3 linked regions of the Diceros bicornis minor genome follow. The protein of the gene in region 2 binds, or shares a complex with, the protein of the main gene of each other region. Links are inferred from orthologs where the notes say so. Each region holds a gene or a part of one and is shown on either strand. Other genes may lie near its edges. The genes, in order: USP4, SART3 and CCNT1.

The links.
Region 1: the proteins of SART3 (region 2) and USP4 are in contact, whole or in part, in a crystal structure (PDB 5CTR), measured with the Homo sapiens proteins. The link is inferred for Diceros bicornis minor from reciprocal best matches to the Homo sapiens genes SART3 and USP4. Residues at the interface, in NP_055521.1 of Homo sapiens: Asp437, Ser438, Ser439, Lys440, Gln490, Arg493, Glu494, Trp496, Asp497, Met500, Thr501, Ala505, Trp511, Tyr514, Lys529, Arg533, Cys537; in NP_003354.2 of Homo sapiens: Met24, Thr27, Leu28, Ser53, Trp54, Glu123, Gly125, Leu126, Phe127, Val128, Lys129, His130, Cys131, Lys132.
Region 3: SART3 (region 2) and CCNT1 share a complex: the UniProt entries of both Homo sapiens proteins name them as parts of the 7SK snRNP complex. The link is inferred for Diceros bicornis minor from reciprocal best matches to the Homo sapiens genes SART3 and CCNT1.

What each region holds. Positions count from the first base shown.
Region 1 is NC_080741.1:50,519,461-50,526,752, forward strand, and holds the start of USP4 (ubiquitin carboxyl-terminal hydrolase 4), read right to left. Parts: upstream 3,083-7,292; 5' UTR 2,921-3,082; coding exon 2,820-2,920; intron 629-2,819; coding exon 501-628; intron 1-500.
Region 2 is NC_080774.1:18,772,490-18,779,481, reverse strand, and holds the start of SART3 (squamous cell carcinoma antigen recognized by T-cells 3), read right to left. Parts: upstream 3,085-6,992; 5' UTR 3,060-3,084; coding exon 2,745-3,059; intron 1-2,744. Other genes in the region: iron-sulfur cluster assembly enzyme ISCU, read left to right, coding at 4,524-4,637, 6,243-6,356. UniProt on the Homo sapiens protein: U6 snRNP-binding protein that functions as a recycling factor of the splicing machinery. Promotes the initial reassembly of U4 and U6 snRNPs following their ejection from the spliceosome during its maturation.
Region 3 is NC_080756.1:20,861,787-20,869,072, reverse strand, and holds the start of CCNT1 (cyclin-T1), read right to left. Parts: upstream 3,060-7,286; 5' UTR 2,973-3,059; coding exon 2,812-2,972; intron 1,037-2,811; coding exon 955-1,036; intron 1-954. UniProt on the Homo sapiens protein: Regulatory subunit of the cyclin-dependent kinase pair (CDK9/cyclin-T1) complex, also called positive transcription elongation factor B (P-TEFb), which facilitates the transition from abortive to productive elongation by phosphorylating the CTD (C-terminal domain) of the large subunit of RNA polymerase II (RNA Pol II).

The sequences.
Region 1 (7,292 bases), on a different chromosome or scaffold from region 2:
GAGCTGACTATAATCATAGCTCTACTGACCTTCCACCTCTCCTCACACTACTTCTATAACAAACATAGCCATCACAGGAACGCTTGATGAATGTCGACAGGTCTACAATTTGTTACACTGCAAAGGTAACACAGAAAATTCTGGTTCCCAACTTTCAGATTCCAGATGCAATTTCAAAATGATATCCTATTTCTTTTCATTCCACAGACTAATCTAAAATCTGAAATCTCTAGCAGAATTAATTTGCAAAAAAAAGAGAGAGAGAGAGAGATTTAAAATGCTAGAAGCATGCTCTTGTTAGAAGCCTTTAATTTAGGAAAAAATTAACTTCTCCCTGAGGGTCTGCAAAGACTTCTGCTATAGACACAAATCGAGGACACTTGTTTCTATCCCCTCACAGTTGGAAAGTCAGGTTCACAATGTCCATGTTACAGATAAACACAACCACAGGTCATTGCCCAGGTGGACATTTCAGTTAGAAAAGCAATAGGATACCACACCTGAAAAGAGTCCGGAGTTATCTATTGGGCCAGGAAACAAGTTGTGTTCACCCACATTGTACATATCCCAGCTGTCAAAGCCCACGTACTTCTTCCACTGCTTGAACCACCGGCTGTCAACAAGATACCTAGAGACAGACAAAAATTTACTATTCCAGAAAAGCTGAGGTTGTAAGTTTCTGCAGCTGCTCCCTTAATATTTTTATGGTCTTTTCACTTGGGGAACAAGCAATACCTACTGAAAGACACACTCGGCAAAGCAGGAGCAGGGCCAGGAACCACATGGCACAGAGAGCCATGATCCAGGGCAGGCATCCATTAAATGAAACGATTGTTGAAAGAATGAATAAATGAAAGGAAGGCAATGACTGGCTTCAAAATGCTTATTTAAAGGAAGTCTTTCTATAGGTAAAATCTTGTTTGCTAATGACCAAGTCATTAATTTCATTTTTTTTAATTTTGTTTTTTTTATGGCAGTAACATTGGTTTATAACATTGTCAAGTCGTTAATTTCCTAATGATCTTTACAGAGGTCCTTGTCCAGGTAGACAGTTTGATTACACTGCTCTGCCTGATGTGAACAGCATTAAACTAATTTTATTTCTGAAAATGGGATAACAACATCCCACACTTCAGTTTTCCTTTGAGGACCAAACAAGATAAAAAATGTGTGTGAGTATATGTATGTAAATATATGTACATATATACATACACACACATATACGTGCATATACACACACACACACACATATATATACACAATATTGTCTAGGTATGTCTATCTTGTCAAAAAGCATCAAGTTGATCTGGTTATATTTTAAAAGTATCACTATGCTGTTTTACAATTAAGATAGAAGAAGGGAAACCTTGGCTGGCCCCGTGGTTTAGCGGTTAAGTGCACGCGCTCCGCTGCTCACGGCCCGGGTTCGGATCCCGGGCGAGCACCGACGCACCACTTCTCCGGCCATGCTGAGGCCTCGTCCCACATACAGCAACTAGAAGGATGTGCAGCTATGACATACAACTATCTACTGGGGCTTTGGGGGGAATAAATAAATAAATAAATAAATAAATCTTTAAAAGAAGAAGGGAAAACTCTGTGGGGGAACAAAGGACAACAACTATATTGGTGAGTCTTTCAAATTTTATAACCAACAAACTTCAGAGGATATCAGGCAGCTTCCCAAAGGCCACAAGGATTCATAAACACATCCAAATCTTTAGAATGCTCTTTTCCCTCCAAACCCCTTGAACAATACACTCCAAACACTTTTGGTGTGTGATTTTAGTCTATTCCAAACTTCCTCTGCTTCTGCTGAGTATCCTTCATACATCACTCCTATGCAGGATAACTTCTAAAAGCACCTCTGATTGCCCTGCCTTTCACGGTTCGGCTAGCTCAAGAACACTGTAAAGCTCTATTCGAATTTCTCCTGATCTCAATGTTTCTCTTCCCTGCTCAATGTATCTCAACTCTTAACCCCAATGTCTCTCTTCACTGCTCAATTCCTCTGTCATTATAAGAGCCATGACCAACACCACCACAGTTTCTTAAAGAGGGATGCTCAATCACATTCAATGCAAAGCCAACCCCCAGTTTTCTACTCCCACACAATAATACCAGGAATCTCTTCACTACTGGAAATACTGTCCTTTCTACTAAACAATTTATTAAGAAACCTGGTCTCCGACTTGCTCTTCTAAACCCTAAATTTTTAATCTTTTTTATCTAGGCTGTAGGCTACCTTACTTTCCCACTTCGAAATGCTGCTGCCACAATTATTTTTGACATTTGCTACCAAATAACCTGGGGCTCTCAGACATTTGTTCAGCTTCTGACCTTGACATCTATTCGGCAGTTTATAAGTTACAAAGTATGTACTTCTGATCTTCGCCTCAACCCACTGAGGGCGGAGGGCCAAATATTGCTACCCTGGTTTTAACAGTAAGGAACGGGGATCTATGAGGTGTTGATGCCTTTGCCCAAGGTCACGCGGCAAGTCCTGGTAGGTAAAAGGCTCTTCCTATCCTGCAAGTCCCCGTGAGCACTCCCCTTCTGTTCAACCTGCAGCCCTTGCCCCCGCTGGGTCCGCGCCCTGGGGCTCGGTATGGGCCGGGACGACCCTCAGCTCCGCCCACGCTTTCCCAGAGGTGACCCCGGGGTCCTTCTCCTGAGAGGCGGGGGTCACGTCACTCTCTCAGGGTCACTAACATCGCCTCCAGCCGGCCCCTACCCAAGCCGAGAAAGAGGGGCTTAGCCTGAGCGCCAGAGCCCCGGTCCCTGGCCCTGGCCGGGCGAAAGGGGGGCCTGGCACTCACCACTGCGCCCCTCGTTGGAGAGTGGTCCTCATCAAGGCCCCGAGCTCGGATTTCTGGGTCTCCGCATCCGGTCGCTCACCGCAGCCTCCGCCTTCCGCCATCTCGTCCGCTGCCCCGGCCCAGCCGGCCCGGACATCCGCCTAGCGCACGGCGTGCTGTGGGCCGCTCCCACCTACGCACGCACGCAAGCGCGTGCGCGCGCCAAAGGGCACCCCGCTCCGCGGCCTTGAGCGCTTGCTTGGCTTTGCCTTTTCTTGCCGCCGTTTGCGCGCCGCGCCTATTCTGCCGGTACGTGGTGGAGCAGGGAGGGAACCGGAAGAGGAGGCGGGCGCCGGGGAAGAAGCCGCCGCTTCCTTCCGTTCTGCAGGCCTCACCTTGGGGCGGGAGTGTGGTGCCCCTCGACCCTCGGGTATCCAGTCCTGGCCTGCGGGGTTATTCTGTTCTTAAATAAGCGCAGCAACCGGTGTGAAAAGCCCTGGAACTATATTTTCTTGTAGTCATTCCTGCCATTCCGCTTTCAGCAGAGACCTTAGGCGAGTCCTTAACTGCACAAAAGTAGGATCGAGGTTCCTGTCCTGGAGGCCCTACAGGGATTTCGGGGAGTGCCTGGTGCACCAGCGCCTTGGGACCGGGACTCGACGGTGTGGTCTAGTCGTTAACAATCGTTCCAAACACTCTGGACGCCAGAATCACCTTGCCCACGGCAGAATTCCACAAGCCGTCCACAGTGAGCTAGCTACTTGCCTTGTCAGGGAGACAGGCAGCCGCAGAGGGTCCATAGCAACGGGGGAAGGAGAGGTCCAGGTGTGTTCTCCACATTAGGTGCCCAGGCTGCTTCTTAATTTGTTGCCGCAACAAGGTACAATGTCCTGAACACTGTATGTTTTCTACTTGACCCTGCATATAAAAAACACAGCCCTCCTCCTGGACGGGTAAGTAAGCCCAGAGCAAGGAGGATGCCAAGCAGCTGGTCTACGCCAGTCTCCGTTCACTTGCCTAGCAGTTCCGGCCCTCAGAGAAAAATAAGACCTAATACCTGCACTTATACAGTCTAATAGAGGAGAAGAAATCTTCCGCAAATAACCCCAGTGCCAAGCAGTGTGTGGTAAGTGCCGTTAAGGGATATGAACCCTTGAGGGGCCGGCCCGGTGGCGCAAGCGGTTAAGTGCTGGCTCTCTGCTGCGGTGGCCCGCGGTTTCCCGGTTCGGATCCCGGGCGCGCACCGACGCACCGCTTGGCAAGCCATGCTGTGGCGGTGGTGGCGTCCCCTATAAAGTGGAGGAAGATGAGCAGGGATGTTAGCCCGCACCGACGCACCGCTTGGCAAGCCATGCTGTGGCGGTGGTGGCATCCCCTATAAAGTGGAGGAAGATGAGCAGGGATGTTAGCCCAGGGCCAGTCTTCCTCAGCAAAAAAAGAAGATGATTGGCAGATGTTAGCATAGGTCTGATCTTCCTCACACACACAAAAAAAGGATATGAACCAAAGACTAGGTCCAGAGCTGTGAAATGGAGCCTTTGACTTGAGTAGCATTTGAGTGTGGTCTTGAAGAAAGTGTAGAAATGATGGTGCATGTTACAGGAGGAGAGACTAGAGGGGTCGTCCCCTATAAAGTGGAGGAAGATGAGCAGGGATGTTAGCCCAGGGCCAGTCTTCCTCAGCAAAAAAAGAAGATGATTGGCAGATGTTAGCATAGGTCTGATCTTCCTCACACACACAAAAAAAGGATATGAACCAAAGACTAGGTCCAGAGCTGTGAAAGGGAGCCTTTGACTTGAGTAGCATTTGAGTGTGGTCTTGAAGAAAGTGTAGAAATGATGGTGCATGTTACAGGAGGAGAGACTAGAGGGGTCGGAGACAATTTCTGAAACAGGCGGGGCAGAATCAAAGAGTGAGCATTAGGCCAGTTGAGCTGGGATCAGACTACTGAAAAAGCCTGAGATCTAAAGATAGAAAGGAGGCTGGAGGGGCCACATGTCTTGCCTTAAATGGCCCACAGATATTGTAGGAAATTTTGGAGCAGAGACAAAATGGCTGAGGGTGCTTTACACCCACAGTGGTATAGCCCAGAGACCTATTAGTAGCATTTCACTGGAGAGGTAGCTATGAGGGAGGAGAGAAGAAACAGGAGACCGTGTTCAGTGTTAGGGATGGAGGACGGAGAGCTGGCCTGGTGAAGGTGTGGTAGGTCATTTGAATAGATTTACAATTTTTATGTTGGGTTTTGGCTAATTTCGATTAATTTGCACACCCTGGGACATCCATCACACACCATCTGGTAACAGACACCTGTTGGCAGTTGGGTAGGTAGCAAGGGATAATGAGTTTGGAGTTGAAACTGCCTTGAATGACCATGTAGCAATTAATCCCCTGCAGATAAGTTATAATCATGTGATAATTCTACATCTGGGGAGCCAACCCTGACAAGTGCCCTTCTGTGAAAGCTCTTTGAAATTGTTAAAAATGTTGTCAAATGAGAAACACTACCGTTAGTCCTGTTATTTATGGAAAAAGAAAGTTGGGTTACCGACATTACTTCAGAACCTACATTAGAGGGTATCTGCTTCCCTTTTCTTTTTTTTTTTTTTTTAGCAGTTTCTCCCTACCATTTATGGCATGGGTCAGAGTCTTAAGGAAGTAGAAGTACGACAAGTACTCAGCACCACTAGAAAGAGGGACAAAACCTAATTATAAAAATGAAAAAAAAAGAAAACTTTGGAAAATCTTTTTAAGCCTGGATCTCTTCAGTGCTGTTAAATAGCTATAAAAATAGTGCACCAATTATGAGTAGCTCCTAAAAATTTGTATTAAGATTACAAAGTGCCACTAGTTAAAACGCAAGGAATAAAGTGAAACTTTATAGTCGGAAGATCAGCATTATTTCCAGTTTTAAAACTTTTTTAGTGAGTTTCATTCATTTAGTGAGTTAAAAATTGAGAACTAGAAACAACGAACATCTTTCTGTGTTCCCACTATTATGGGAGTGACCTGCGGATTTGGCAGGAAATGAATTCAATGATTCAGCTCTGGAGACACCCTGGCCCCAGGGCTGTGATCTCTGGCCATTTACCCTAGGAAGAGGTGCAGGCCTAGTAGAGCACTCACTTTGCCCCATCACCAAACCCCAGAACTGAACAACCCACCCGTTGCCATGGGATTTTGGGCCACAAGAACAGGAAAGAACGCAGGAAGGGATATAGAGGGAACAGGCCTGGCTGATTGATCACATACTGCTTGATCTTGGACTGTGATGATCTAATTGAGGGTTTGTAATGTCTGGATCTGTGAACTTCAAGCTTTACTTTGTTCCAAGTTATAAAATTCTTGCCTTGACTGGTACTATGGCTTGCTCTACACCTGACTGGAGTTGGCCCTCCCAAGTCACCCTTGGTCCACATTTGGCCAGCAGAAACAGAGCACATGTGACAGGAGTCACAAATATTGGGCACCTTTTGATTAAAGGTGGCATCAGGAGAGAAATATTTTTGTTTTGTTCTTGCCTGTGCTTCGTTAACCTGCCCAGGAGACTGTGAAAAAGTAAAAAGCTCTAGAAGTACATTTTGAAAGAATTAAACGTCTCATCCGTGACATTATAACCTCTGTTATATAAGGATTAGGTTACTGAGGAAGGTGACAAAGGCAAAAACCTGAACCAATCTCACAGAGTGGAAGTGGAATCAACTTTCCTATGTTGGAAACTCATACCGTTGGACAGATTCCATTCTGGTTATGCCACTGTTGGTGGCCAGCCCTGACTGGGCAGGGAGAGCATGGCACCCTGGGCCCAGGTGTGGCTAGTGTCTTCTCTTCCTCCTCTAATTCTGTTACCATCAATGTCTTAACCATAAACAAGTATTTAGATGTTAATTATGCATGTTCGCCCTTTGCACACAGCAGATTCTCAGTAAGCATTTCTTGGATGAATGAATGAAAGAACTATCCAGATACTAGTCATTTTTTCATTTGACTAATAACCTGTTATATGCTCATAGTCCCTACCCTCCAGGGGTTCACAGCCAATGTGGTTGGGGAAGATGTTTTCACATGTAATTACAGTGTTCTATGTTGTGTGATAAAAGTGCTATAGGAACATGGAAGGTGATGCTGCAGACCTTTGCTGGGAAGGAAACTTAAGCAACTGGTGTAGGGAGCAAAGGCATGCTTTGCTTAACATTCCCTTTGGCTTGCCTCTGGGAATGCATGATGAGTCTGCAAAGGAATGCTCAGGGAACCAGGGCTTCTTTAGATTCACCTACACATACACAGACATAGTCACATGCTAGAGACAGAGGAGGCTGGGTTAACAGGTGTTTCCTTTGCAGGGAGACTCCGATCCCCTCCACTTGCCTCCCTGTGGAGCCAGGTGGTCTGCAAGACTGTAGGACACCACCCACAGTGGTCTGCACATGCCCCTGGATACTGCTCAGACTCTAGGCATTTGGATAAATTGGGCCTGTTTTGTGGTCTCTTGCC
Region 2 (6,992 bases):
TGCACACTGAAATGCAGTAAGAGACATCTCCAGAGTTCACTCGGCACTGACAAACGAGTGCATATGCTGGTCTATTCCAGACTCAGAACATCATTAATGACAAAGGATGCTTTACAGCAAGAGGGGGCTTGGCCAATGCACGAAGTGACCTGCTGACTTCCTAACTCCCTGGAATTAGCGTGGAGAGGTAACAGATGGGCCTGATGGAAAGGACCCAGCTGCTGCGATCAGGGAAAGGCGGGGACAGGAGAACAGAGCACAGAGCAGGTCTGTGTCACACAGGCCCTGGCATAGCACCCACGTGCCAAACTGTGCCAGGAGCGTAATGCGCATCGTGTCACTTAAACTGCACAACAGCCCTGTAAGGGAGGGACTACTATAACCCTCATTTTCCCACCTGGGACCCCGCAGACCCAGAGAGCTGAAATACTGTGCACGAAGTCTTTCCACTACTGAGCAGAGGCCTTGAGCTCACATCCGGCTGCAAAGCCATGCTCTGCACTGCTCCGTGGTGCACTAACGAATCTGCCCGAGGGGGCTTTTCATTTCAGGACCAAACGCAAATAACGGGAAATCGCTGCTTTTGTTACACGGACAGACACCACACTATTTTCAAGCTTTCATAAAACACACCTAGGGATGAGAACCGGAATTCTCAAATATAGCAAGGCCGAATTTCTCACAGACCTATCTGTAAGTTATTCATCATTATGCTCAGCCATAAAAGCAACTACAGCAGGAAGTAGAAGCTGTGAGATCCAAGGGAGGTTTGGAAAAATTGGAAAAGTCCATTTCTAGACCCAGGACAAAGAGAATAAGGCCAGAGGCTCTTCAATTCACCATCACTGGCCAGGTCCCCTCCTGTGTGGTCACCTTCAGAGCTCCAGCCCAGCCTCAGTGGCCTGAGGCAGGGCAGGCAACTGCAGAGCACCAGGAGACCTCTGCTCTGATCCATCCTCCTTCCTAGTAAGCTGGGTACCCTCATTAAGGACTTCTCTGCTTCCAGGCCTCCCCTTCCCACTAAAACAGGTTATCCTATTTCCTCTACCTCACAGAATAGTAAGGTCCAAGTGAGCTAATGGCTCACTGAAAGGCCCAAGACTCCAAGTCTGAAGAACAGACGTGCACCATAATGACAGGGACACGCCAGTCTGGCACTCCATATCACACTGTATTTGCTGAACGAGCAAAAGACTGAACGATCATCAGCAAACTTCTTTAAAAGAAGCAGAAGTGGTAACCACCTGCCTACCCCAACTGGTTCCCGTGACAATCAGATATGACGACGAGTGGGACAAGCTATACCAATGGATGATATCACTACTCCATAACTTGACAAATATATCACAGTCAGAGAGGACATTATAAGCAAACTCACACCCAGCAAGCTTAAGTGAGGAACCTTCACATCACTAAGTGATTTCACATCCAGAGTGGCATCTGGTCCACAGACAACCCTGAAAAGTTCAAATCCCCTTATGAGTGACCTTAAGCAAATCATTTCATCATTTGTGCTGAGCCTCTGTTTCCTCATCTGTAAACTGAGAAGGTGCTAGATCTCTTCCGTTTGCCCCTCCAAATCCACTCCACCCCCTCCACGCTGTCCTGTGCCCCCGCCACCCCCACCGCCACCGTGTGGACCATATCAATGGGCTTCCTGGCTCTCCTGCTTCCAGCAGAGTTTGCCCAGTAGGAGGCACCGGGAGATGTCTGGAGAGGAAGAGAGGGAGGTGAGGGTATTTCTTCCCCCACCTCAATCTCTGATAGGAAACTGGGGCCGCATCCCTTGCCCAAAAGTCTTAGCTCCTCTCAGGTGCCCTCCCACCCAGCTATTCAGAAAACCAGGCACTCCCCTCACTCCTTCAGGCCTAAAAGTGGACACAAGGTCCTGCTGTTATTAGTTCTTAAGTGCTAACCTTCATTCCTGATGTCCCTGCCCACACCTTTACAAACACAGTAGTCCCTTTATTGACCTTTTCTCAAATTATCCTAATTTGAATGCACCACCTATTTCCTGCTGGGATCCTGGATTACACAGGAGATCCACCACCTGTATCTCATAAAGTCACAGATTAGAAGTCACGTCACTACTAGGTGCCCCCCACTGAATTATATTACCGTTATGTCGTTTACATGGTGCAGGAATTGCTACTCCCAATTTACAGATGAGGAAGCCAAGGCTCAGAGAAGCTAAGCAACGTGCCCAAGCACGTACAGGCGTGGAAGAGCTAGAACTGGGGCCTTCGCCTCCAGACGCTGAAATCCCCACCCTTCTATTTCTGTGATCGTCGTCACGGTCAACATTTTCTGCCACGCCACATTTCAGCATTATCATCATTCCTACAGAAAAATAACCCTCTCTTACGAAGCGAATTTTATTTCTACTGCTGGGCATAGCCTAACGGTGTGGTGAAGAGTGGGAGTGCTGGAGTCGGTTCAAAGTTCAAGACCTGACTCGCCACTTGCAGGAAGTGTGATCTTGAGCCTGAGAATTCTCTCCACGAGGAGCCTGTTTCCTCCCGTAAAACGGGGAATACGCCCCTTCCTTCGCGGGGTCCTTGCGAGGGTTCAGTGGGATAACGCTTGCAAAGCACGGGGCCAGCGGGAAGCGCTCCAACGACAGGAGCTGCGGTGACGATAGCGGTTCTGCGGCCTCGGCGTCTTTATTCCCGCTCAGGACCACGGAGGCGGGCCGGGGCCCGGGGACGCGAGGGAAGGAGCCCGCCGCCCACCCCCGGGCGCACCTGCTCCTCCAGCCGCTCGATCTCCAGCTGGTTCTTCTCCTCCTCTTCGTCGTACTCCCACTCGTACTCCCCGGGGGAGCTCTCCGCCGAGGAAGCCATGGCGTACTCCTCGTCTCCATCGCTCTCGCTCATGCCCTCCTCCTGCTGGTCCCACCCTGGCCCCATGGTCTTGCACGTCGCAGCGGCCACAGCCCGCGATAACACCTTCCTCCGCGTCCTAGCCGCCTTCACCTCCTCCTCCTCTCCCTCGGCCTTGGGCCCAGCGTTGGGCTCAGCCTCCGGTTCCGAAGCCGATGTTGCAGCCGCGGTCGCCATCTTGCGCTTCCAGTGACTCTCGGGTCCTCACGCGGCCGCCGAAGACCCGCAGAAGTAGAAGCTGCCCGCGGCGCGTGCCTGATCAAAACCCCGCACTCTTGCCACTCAAAGGGAAACTGTGAGCTTCGGGTGATGGAAAAATCTCTAAATACACGCCACTCACATTGTTTTTATATACTTGTAAAAGTTTTTTTCAGAGAAAGAAGCTTAATAATATGGCATATGTACGGCCACAACTTCGGACAGAAGATGGGTCTTTGGACCGGAAGTGGAGGCCATTAGAGGACGTCATGGAGGGAGCGTGATGACTGTGGTTAAGGGTTTGGAGCCATCTTGAGAAGGTCAATATGATTCTTGGGATAAACGCCTTGCTTGCGTCTAACCTGGCGCGTGGTTCAGTCTCCCCAGCAACTGAGCGTCAAACGCAGAGAAACCTCCGAGTCCTCTGGGAAGTATCGATTGCACCATCCACGAGAAAAATCCATTTCCCAAAGAGATTCCTCCCCTTTATGTAATGCCTGGTGCCTAGCAGGCGTTAAATAACACGTGCGAGATTTCTCGTTTTCTAAGACCGTATTCTGCAAACCAATATTAATAAATTACATGACTAAACATTTATTCAGAAACTCTTCACTGCCAGGTATTGTCATATAAATTGTGCCAGTTTGCTTTATATTGAAATAGACGCGGACATAAATATACGCATTTTTCTGTTAATCAGGGCATGGTGTTCGTTTCCTTCCTAATTAAGCTTCCCATTTTTGAGGTAGGAAAGTATTGGCGTGTTCATTTATTGCCTTCCTCCTTCGTTAGCAAGCTTAATGGAGCAGGGACTATGTCTTTCCGTTGGATCCCCAAAGCCTATTAGTATAGCGCCTTGACATATGATAGGTACTGAACACATATCTGCTCAATGGATGAAAAAATTGGCCTTGACTTAGTACAAAAGAGAAGATCAAGGCTTAGAAAGCTGATGTCATTTGCCTACAGTCACACAGCCAGGAAGAAGCAGAACCGGGATTCTAACAGGATTGTTCGAGTTTGAATCCCCACTGAGTCAAACTCTGGGCAACCTCAGACAAGCTACTAAGTCGCTCTGAACCTCAACTTCCTAAGCTGCAAAACAGAGTGAAGAAAGGTGGACTAGGTGATGCTCTGCGCCGTATTCCGGCGGTGGGCTTTGTGAACGCGAACGTAGGTCCCGCACTCCAGGAAGCTGAGATCCTAGCAGATACAGAGCCCAGCGCCGAGAACAAACCCGCCTGCGACCCCACAGCTCCCAGCTCCGAGCCCCGCCCGCCCTGAGGGGCGGGGCCCAAGCGCGGACACGTGCACGGAGCGAGAGGGCGCAGGCGCGACGTCGCGGTGACGTAGGAGGAAGCGCGCTCCGAGCTGGGAGCCGACTTGCGGGCGCACCCCACCCCTCGGTCTCGCGCTCGGCCTGCGCAGGCGCAAGCCCGCAAGATGGCGGCGGCTGGAGCGGGCCGTCTGAGGCGGGCGGCGTCGGCCTTGCTGCTGCGGAGCCCGCGCCTGCCCGCCCGGGAGCTGTCAGCTCCGGCCCGGCTCTATCACAAGAAGGTGGGCGCGGGCGAGGGGGCGCGCAGGGCCCGCGCCGGCCGGGGGGGCGGGAGTGCGACGACCGCCGAGGGGCCCCGGGCGTGCCGGCGGAGGCCCAGCCCAGGGAGGAGTGGCCGCGGGGCTCTGCGCGGCCGGGGAGCCCCTGCTACGGCGGGGGAAGGGGCGGCGCCCGGCCCCGGACGGAGGGGCCGCCCCCTCGCTCGACCCTGCCCCTCGCTGCGCAGGAACGCTAACCCGCCTGAAGCAAGCACCGGCTGCGGCTCGTGGAGCCGCCGCCGCCCGGGGCCCGCCGCCCGCCGCGGGGTCTCGCGTCCCGGCCTTTAACTTCCCAACAGTCGGGGGCCTGTTGGGACCTGCCAGCCGCATCCGGGGCCAGACACGCACACCGGCTCCAGCCAGGCCACTGCCCGGGCCCAGTGACCTTGGGCAAGTCACTGCCCCTCGCCGAGCCCTTTTCCCCATTTGTAAAATGGGGGTCTTAGCACTTCTAGATCTACGCGAGGTGATGCTCGTGGAGTCCTCGGCGTGATGCCTAGCACACGGGGACCGTTTATGGTGCCGCAGCTGTTACTGTGGTAGGAAGGAGCCTCTGAGCGGAGTCGGACACGTAACCAGCAGTCATAATGTTTTTATGTATGTTTTGGTTTTTTCGTGGGGGGAGGGGGAGAGGAATAGGCGCAACGTTTACAGCCCTTGCCTTCTGGGGGCGTAAAGTCCCCTAGACGTGAGATTCTTTGACTCCGGAAACTAAGCGAAGAATGCCGTACATCAACATGGGGCAGAAAGTCCAGATTGGACATGACCTTGTAGGTCCTTGGGCTTGGAGTCCGAGTCCGTGGTCGGAGAGGTGGGGGAAAGGAGACTGGAAGATCGGGATACTTAGAGCTAACTGGTAAACGGACCCAAGGCTATTAAAGCGTGTGTGCCAGTGTGAAGAGAGATTTATTCGCTTCTGGCTTCACGATGCCAAGGACTTCCCTCCTCCGCCTCCCGGGGGTGTGTTTTGTTGACATTTCACGCTGAATGAGTTCGAGCTAGCAGCCTTCCAGCCACCAGGGGGCGCTGCTGCACCGGGGGGCTTTCAGGGCCCTGAAATACAGAAACAGGCCTGATGTTATCATCGTACACAAATGCACAGGGTCCATAGCATTGTTCCTTCTGTAACAGTCTCCTTGAGGCTCTGGGAAAGCCTTACATTTCTGACCCGTACTTATTTTTAGAATTTTTGAATAGTAATCATTAACCTTTAAAAATGGATTTTATTTGGAAATAACAAAAATACTGTTTGAGCCCAAATCTGGTGACGTAGGTGGTTAAAGGTCAAGTAATTATGTGTGGTTAAAAACCCTGTGGAATTAAGACATGATTTGGCTGGTTTTTCTCTCGTATCTCAAATCTCTGAAGGTAGTTGGAGAGGAGATACAGAAAGACTTTGGGTCGCAAATGGTTGTCATTGACAGAGGTGTAAGCCTTCCTACCAGGGTGAAATTTGGGATTTAGTGATCGCCTGCCAGGTTCAGCCTGCCGACTTCCGGGAGCTTACTGTCAAGTCGGGGAGACCAGTACCAAAAAAGAGTCATGATTGCTCTCAACCTTTCGTTTCAGGTTGTTGATCATTATGAAAATCCTAGAAACGTGGGGTCCCTTGACAAGACATCTAAAAATGTGGGAACTGGATTGGTGGGGGCTCCAGCGTGTGGTGATGTAATGAAACTACAGGTAGGACCGGTTTTGATCTTGAATGTGAATAACAGTGACCCCTTTGCTTACACAGAGCTTCACTGTTTACAAAGCATGCGCACACACAGCATTTCGTGCAGACTCCATCTTGATTCCTGTGAGATGGGGTGAGTCAGTGTTATAAATTGTCAGAGCAAGGACTGAATGCTAGTCCCCCTGCTAGTAGACTGTGCTGACCCTTTCTGATATAGTAAACTGATCTCCCTTTTCTAGTCACTGGATCAGCTTAAATTCCAGCTTCAGCGAAGTAAAGTTTTTATGAATTTTACTGATCGAAGGAAAACCACAACCGTTCAGCTAGCCACCCTCAGTGAGACAAGAAATGTAATAAATCAAACCTCCCCCAAATTGGCAACAACCTGAAGGTAGTGATTGGCACTTTGGGGAAACCGTAGCTTTATGCACAATCTACTTCATCATGGTGGGTGGGCACCTTGCCAGAGGTTTTCATGCTTATCTTGGAAAACAGAAACAAGGCAGGAGGGAACCACTAAAGGTAACTTGGTGCCAAGAAAAAAGCAATAACCAGAGACCTTTAGTGCAGACCGTCCCAGTGCTTAAAGAGGCAGACTGACCCAGCAGCTGTGAGCAGAACTTCATAGCCAAAAAGCAGGC
Region 3 (7,286 bases), on a different chromosome or scaffold from region 2:
AGAAAGCCAAGCTGACTGGATAATCAGCAAAAATAGGGAATACTTAATCCACAAATTCAAAATATTTCCCGCACAATTACTCTCAATACCGAGTCCGCCAATATCTTACATTACAAGAGCAATATCTAGTTTCACAGATTATCCTCCTATGGCATAAAAAAAGAGCTCAAAACCCATCATCCTAAGGATAAGTCTGAAATACTTTTCCTCAAAAAAAAAAAAGGGAAATATTTGACTCACAAATCCACATGATGTGTTCATCAAGTTTAGCCCTATTAACTTGTGACTTTATTAAACAAATATAGTCTTACCTGCAACTGGGATATCACTATGCACTCGCTTCCAAGTCATTTACAATAATGTTAAATAGGACCATTTCAGGTAGCAAAACTGAAAATAGCACTATTTACAATTCTGTCCAGGAAAAAAAAATCCCTTTATTACTATTATTTTCTTTTTCCTGTCTTAAAAGTCAACCCCTAATCATCACATAATGTACCTTCCCCCTGCAACCAGTCATCAAATGGAATTTTATCAAAGGCTTTTAGAAAATCTAAATAACTTACATTCACTTGTTTTCCTGTGACCATACTATTATTTAGCATACTATTATTTAGTGTGATTCAAAAATCACACTTAAATTAAGCATAGTTTCCCCTTTAATGCTAGTCTCCCAACCCAAAAATGTTAAGTTTAGTGTTCAATAATCTATTTCTTTATTAGAGAATTTACCTCATCTAAGGATGCACTAAATCTATCAAACAACTAGCTAGACTCTTCACAGGAAAATAGGAAGGCTGGATTCAGAATAGCAGTGTGACACACCATGCAAGTGATCAACTCTAAATTCTAAACTTCAAATCCCAACTGAAAAGTTCAGTTTAGCGGTAAAGATTAACCACACAAGAAATACAAAAATCACAAGATTATACTATATAAAAAAATTATACTTACATTTCGATGGAACTGTGTAAAGGACTGAATCATGTAGAATCGATGCATGTATACGATAGCAGTGTTGATAGTCAATTGTGAACTAAAATATTCAAGTTAAGGGCCCAAAACAGCAGGCAGTACAATTCCCAAAAAATACAACCTCTATATCCTCCCAAAAGGACCATGCAGCCAAGCACAGTAGATGCTCCTAAATGAAAATCATACTTACTTCTCCAAATTAAAGAGCAAGTCTGTTTTCTTTCACTGAATTATTAACCACCAATTGACAGCACAATGCCTTACACATAACAAGTATTCAACATAAATTTGCTGAATTAATAAACAAGCAAGCTTCTCAGAACGTGTGGATCAAGAAGTAACAAAAACAAAACTATGTAAGACCTAAACCTGTCACTTGCCTACTGAAAACCCTGCAGTGGTGACCCATTAGCTCAGGATCTCTCTTCACATGATTTCCAATGACCTCCCTCAACCAGCCCCTAGGTATGTCTCCACTATCTCCTCACCTTCTAAACTGCAGCAATTAACTTTTCAGTTCCACTTGTTTCACTTCTCTCTGGCAACCAAGCCTTCTCATTCGGTGATCCCTGGGACCAGAAACACTGTGGAATGATTTGATATTCATTCCTTGGAAAGAAAAACTTTTAAACGCCTTACTTCTGAAGACCTCAAAAGACCCTGTGGGGTATACAGAGATGAGGCAGTCCCATGATGGCAACAATCTTTATAACAACATATATAAAAAGGAAAGGACTAGGATGCTAGGACGCACTGAAACAGAATTTAAAAAAAACAAGGTTTAACTCAGTACTGACTTAGGAAACAAACTGGATATCAGCAATAAAAATGCTTAGGAAACAAACTGGGTATCAGCAATAAAGAGGACACCTCTTTTGAGGCGAGCACACCTTAAGACACAAATACTACAGCCAGCAACACATTTAAAGAGAAGTTGCACCCAAGAATAATTTTTCACTTCCAGAGTGAAAAGTACTTTGAAGCTACATTAGCTTTCTCTGCTACAAAATGAGCATATTTTCTGACACATAAAAATACACGGAAAAAAAATCACTAAATTACCTCATCTTTGAAATATGAGGAAAAAGAATACACACCAGCCCTCTGAATAACTTAAAAGCCCATTATTTTGTAAACGGTTTTTAAAACATTAGATCCGTAGGTCTATGTCCCTACAAATCTAAACTGACATCCTTCCTTGCTCTGAAATTCTATAAGCTCTAACACTAACTATTATTTGAATATCTGAATGCCAAGCACTGTGTTGGGCACAAAATCAAACGCAAGTGGTATCACCCCATTTTACAGACAAGAAAACCAAGAATTCGACAGCTTTCTTAAACAGCTAGTAAATGGGAGGAACGGATTTTGAACCAAAGCTGGGGCATTAATTTCAGGCCACCCTTTGCAAAGACCTTCAGATATTGAATTTCTCAAAACTCGATTTACACACTAAGTTCAAGAGGCAGCCATCAACCGTGAAACCTCCACCAGACCCCTAGGGCATAGCGGAAAAGCAGAATCCCAAAGTCATCAGAGCAGGAAATCAGAACACACCGAAAAGCGACTAGGAAGGGCTGGTTAAAACACAAAGCCGGGAAGGATACGAATTCCCAGCAAGGTTGGTGGCACGGGTGAGCGAGCGGGAAATTAATTCCGCCTCGCTTTCCCCGCGCGAACATTGAACTTTAGCCCGCCCCACCGTCAGCTCTCCCACCCAGACATCCAGCCCCTGCCCACCCTCTTCCCGCTTCCGTCCCTGACAGAGCCTGAGGCCTGGACGCCCGAGCAAAGCGGGACTGACTCCAAGGCCGAAGGCCTAGGCCGCAAGGATACACGTTAAGACGCTGCCCCATGTCCTGGAGCAGATTGGCCGCCTGCTGGCGATAAGAAAGTTCTTTATCTGGGTCCAGACCAAAACGACGAGATGGGCTATTTTCCAGCTGTTCTCGCGTAAAATACCACCGTTTGTTGTTGTTCTTCCTCTCTCCCTCCATAGTGCTTTAATCAGAAGGCAGCGGCGGAGGCTGCAAGCACTTCCCAGCGTCACCTAAGCGGCGACCCACATCCGCTGTGCGGCAGCAACTGCAACGTGACGAACTTCCGTTAAGGGTGGACGGCTAGGTTGTGACACGCTTCCGCCGAAGAGGGCTAGTTAAAGGGTCTACTTCCGGAATGGACCTCGCGGCAACCTGTAGCCGAGTTAACAGCCAATAGGCGACCAGGAAAGGCCTTGGGTCTAGGACGCAGGCGCCAGTCATGTGACCCTTGGGAGGTAGGGTGGGATTAGACGCTTTCGTTCAAAACCACGTCACCTCCCGCGAGAACTGGGTTCAGTCTTCGCGCCCATGGCGAGGGCGCGAGGCGTCGTTTGTGGAGGGGTGAGGCGGCCGCCCAGGCGCCGCTCGGCGGCTCTTCGGAGAAGTTCGTTTGTGGTGGAGGTGGGGATGTAAAATGGGGCAGACGGAAAACTTGACAGAGAAAATAGGTGAGATTGTCAAAAACTGAAAAAAGTAATCAAAGAGAGTGGCCCTATCGTATATCGTAACATAAAGCAACTAGAAGCTCTTACATTGTTGGTACAATGTGAGTTACCCATTTGAAAAGCTGCTTTATACTATGTAGCCAAAGCCTTGAAAACGTTCCTGCGCTTCGCCACAGTGATCCAACTTAAAGGAATAAAATGAAATTAATAGTAGTAATTTTGTGTCCCAGGCACAAATACACTCTTAAATACACTACTTCATTTAATCGGCACAACTTGGTAGTAACAGTTTAATCCCCGTTTTGCGAACGGTGAACTTCAGTTCTCCGTTCAGTGTGGCAAGTTCTCCTTCAATGTGGAAAGCTTCCACCGCCACCCTGCACAGGCACAAATTTGTAAGTTTCTGTCCTCTGTCAAGATGTATCCAAGCTCCAACATTTGATCTTGGGCAAGATACTTAACCTCTCTGCCTCTCGTATAAATGTAAATGATAATAATAGTACCTGCGTTTTAGGTTGTGAATGAGTAGATAAAGATTTAATGAATTAAAAGCATTTATAATAGTACCTGGCACATAGAAAATATTCAGTAGATATTATCATGATATTTATTACATTATACTGAAATTGAGGGCAAGGACAATGCCACTTTCATTTTTGTATCTCCAGCACCTACCTAGTACAGTCCTGGCCCTAATAGTCAATAAATGTCAAATAAATGCTCATGACACCCTGCAGTAAAGAAACTGAGGCTCGGAGAGATTAAGTAGTTTACCCTACACTACCCCACTTGTAAGTGTAGATTTTAAAATCAAGTCTAATTCCATTGTTCTTTCCATTCTAGCGACCTATATTCTTGCTTTTCTGGAACACTCAATTTGCTTTGATTACATCTGGGTAATATTAGAATCTTTTGCTTTTATAATATTTTGAGTTTTGTCGTTTCTAGACGTGGCTGCTCCCACTCAGTAAATTTGATTTTAATTTATTCTCAGAAGTATTTCCTTCCATTTCAGGCCCTCCTCTGTCATATACTGCCTACAGTTAACATTAGCTCCATTTTAGCCCAGAAAAATTGAGGTTCAGGAAAATTTAAATTACTTACATCAAGTTATAACATAAAAAAAACACAAAATTTTAAACTTCTTTCATCACAGATAATAAAATAATAAAATTTTTCTTTTAATAGAATAAGCACTTTTTCAGCTATGTAGTCATGTATGTTGTCTTTTAAACAGCCAAGATTCTCTCTCCCAGATCCCGCTTGCCTATTCTCTGACTTGTGTTTAGTTCTCCACTTAATTTCTTTAATTGTTGACTCCATTTGGAATTTGCTCTCCTGGCTGAGTATGCCAGGCTTCCAAGAAAAAGTTCTGCTGTCTGTCAGGCTTCAGGCAATGCAGCTGCTAACCAATGGCTTGCTACCCTGCCGTACAGAAGAGGGGGACCTGTGTAAATCAGAGAAAGAAAATATTCTTTGACTGAAGATGAAATTATTTGAAAGTAGGCAGCAGTGATACATAATTGCTCAACGTGAGTTTTTGAGTCAGGCCTGGATTCAAATTCTAACTATTCTTTTTTTTTTACCATCTTAAACCATTTTTAAGTGTACAGTTCAGTAGTGTCAACTATATTCACATTATTATGCAACAGGTCTCTACAACTTTATTTTGCAAAACTTAGACTCTATACCCATTGAACGACTCCCCCTTTCCCCGCCTCCCCAGCCCTGACCACCCCCATTCTACTTTCTGTTTCTGTGAGTTTGACTACTTTAGATACCTCATATAAGTGGAATCATGCAGTATTTGTCTTTCTGTGACTGGTGTATTTCACTTAGTATAATGTCCTCAAAATTCTCAGCTATTCTTTTAACTGTGTGATCTTAAGTGTCATCTCTACGTCCTGACAGAACACCATCTGGCACATAATAGATGTTCAGTACATGTTTATTGTCAAATTAATGTTAACCTTCAGATACATTACCCTTAAGGAACAATTGACAAAATCTTTAACCAGAGGAATTTTGCTTTTTTTTTTTAAATAGGACTCTGTTTCCTGTATATCACACTTATAAGGCTACTCTTCCTATTCACTAGACTAATCTTGTTCTGGGTACAGGATTATATCATATTTCATGGTTTGATCTTGTTTTGCATTGTGCTCATGAATATCATATTTCAGTCATGTCAAACATTACCATTTACTGCTGTTAAAACAGTTTCACCCCAATGTTCATAGTCTCCAAATTAAAATATGAAATGATGGTATGCTATTCGTAACTATCCCCAACTCCACGTTTAGTGACGTCACGTTGATAGCTTGAAATTGGCCATAGTGTGTGTGTATTGGTAAATTATGAACAATTAACTATGCACAAAAATAATTGTATGTGTATGTAAATGTACATAAGTTTATTATAAAATTTACTGATATAAAGGATGTGTAGCACACAATTTATATAAAATAAAATATAAATCTTCTTTATTGTAAATTTCTTTATTTCTTTTCTAAATTTTTGTTTATTGCAGTAACATTGGTTTATAACATTGTATAAATTTCAGGTGTACATCATTATACTTCTATTTCTGCATAGATTACGTCATGTTCACCACCCAAATACTAATTACAACCCATCACCACACACATGTGCCGAATTATCCCTTTTGCCCTCCTCCCTCCCCCCTTCCCCTCTGGTAACCACCGATCCAATCTCTGTCTCTGTGTGTTTGTTGTTGTTGTTATTATCTACTACTTAATGAGTGAGATCATACTGTATTTGACCTTCTCCCTCTGACTTATTTCACTTTGTATAATAGCCTCAATGTCCATCCATGTTGTCACAAATGGCTGGATTTCATCGTTTCTTATGGCTGAGTAGTATTCCATTGTGTATATATACCACATCTTCCTTATCCATTCGTCCCTTGATGGGCACTTAGGTTGCTTCCAAGTCTTGGCTATTGTGAATAAGGCTGCAGTGAACACAGGGGTGCGTGTATCTTTACGCATTGGTGTTTTCAAGTTCTTTGGATAAATACCTAGCAGTGGAATAGCTGGATCATATGGTAGTTCTATCCTTGATTTTTTGAGGAATCTCCATACTGTTTTCCATAGTGGCTGCACCAGTTTGCACTCCCACCAGCGGTGTATGAGACTTCCCTTCTCTCCACATCCTCTCTAACGCTTGTTGTTTCCTGTCTTGTTACTTATAGCCATTCTGACGGGAGTGAGGTGATATCTCATTGGAGTTTCGATTTGCATTTCCCTGGTAGTTAATGATGTCGAACATCTTTTCATGTGCCTGTTGGCCATCTGTATATCTTCTTTGGCGAAATGTCTGTTCAGGTCTTTTGCCCATTTTTTAATTGGGTTGTTTTTTTGTTGTTGTTGAGATGCATCAGTTCTTTATATATTTTGGAGATTTACGCCTTATCAGATGTATGATTTGCAAATATCTTCTCCCAATTGTTAGGTTGTCTTTTTGTTTTGCTCATGGTTTCCTTTGCTGTGCAGAAGCTTTTTAGTTTGATGTAGTCCCATTTGTTTATTTATTCTATTGTTTCTCTTGCCCAGTCAGACATGGTGCTTGAAAACATGTTGCTAAGACTGATGTCGAAGAGTGTACTGCCTATGTTTTCTTCTAGAAGTTTCATAGTTTCAGGTCTTACATTCAAGTCTTTAATCCATTTTGAGTTAATTTTGTGTATGGTGTAAGGTAAGGGTCTACTTTCATTTTTTTGCACGTGGCTGTCCAGTTTTCCCAACACCATTTGTTGAAGAGACTTTCTTTTCTCCATTGTATGTTCTTGGCTCCTTTGTTGAAG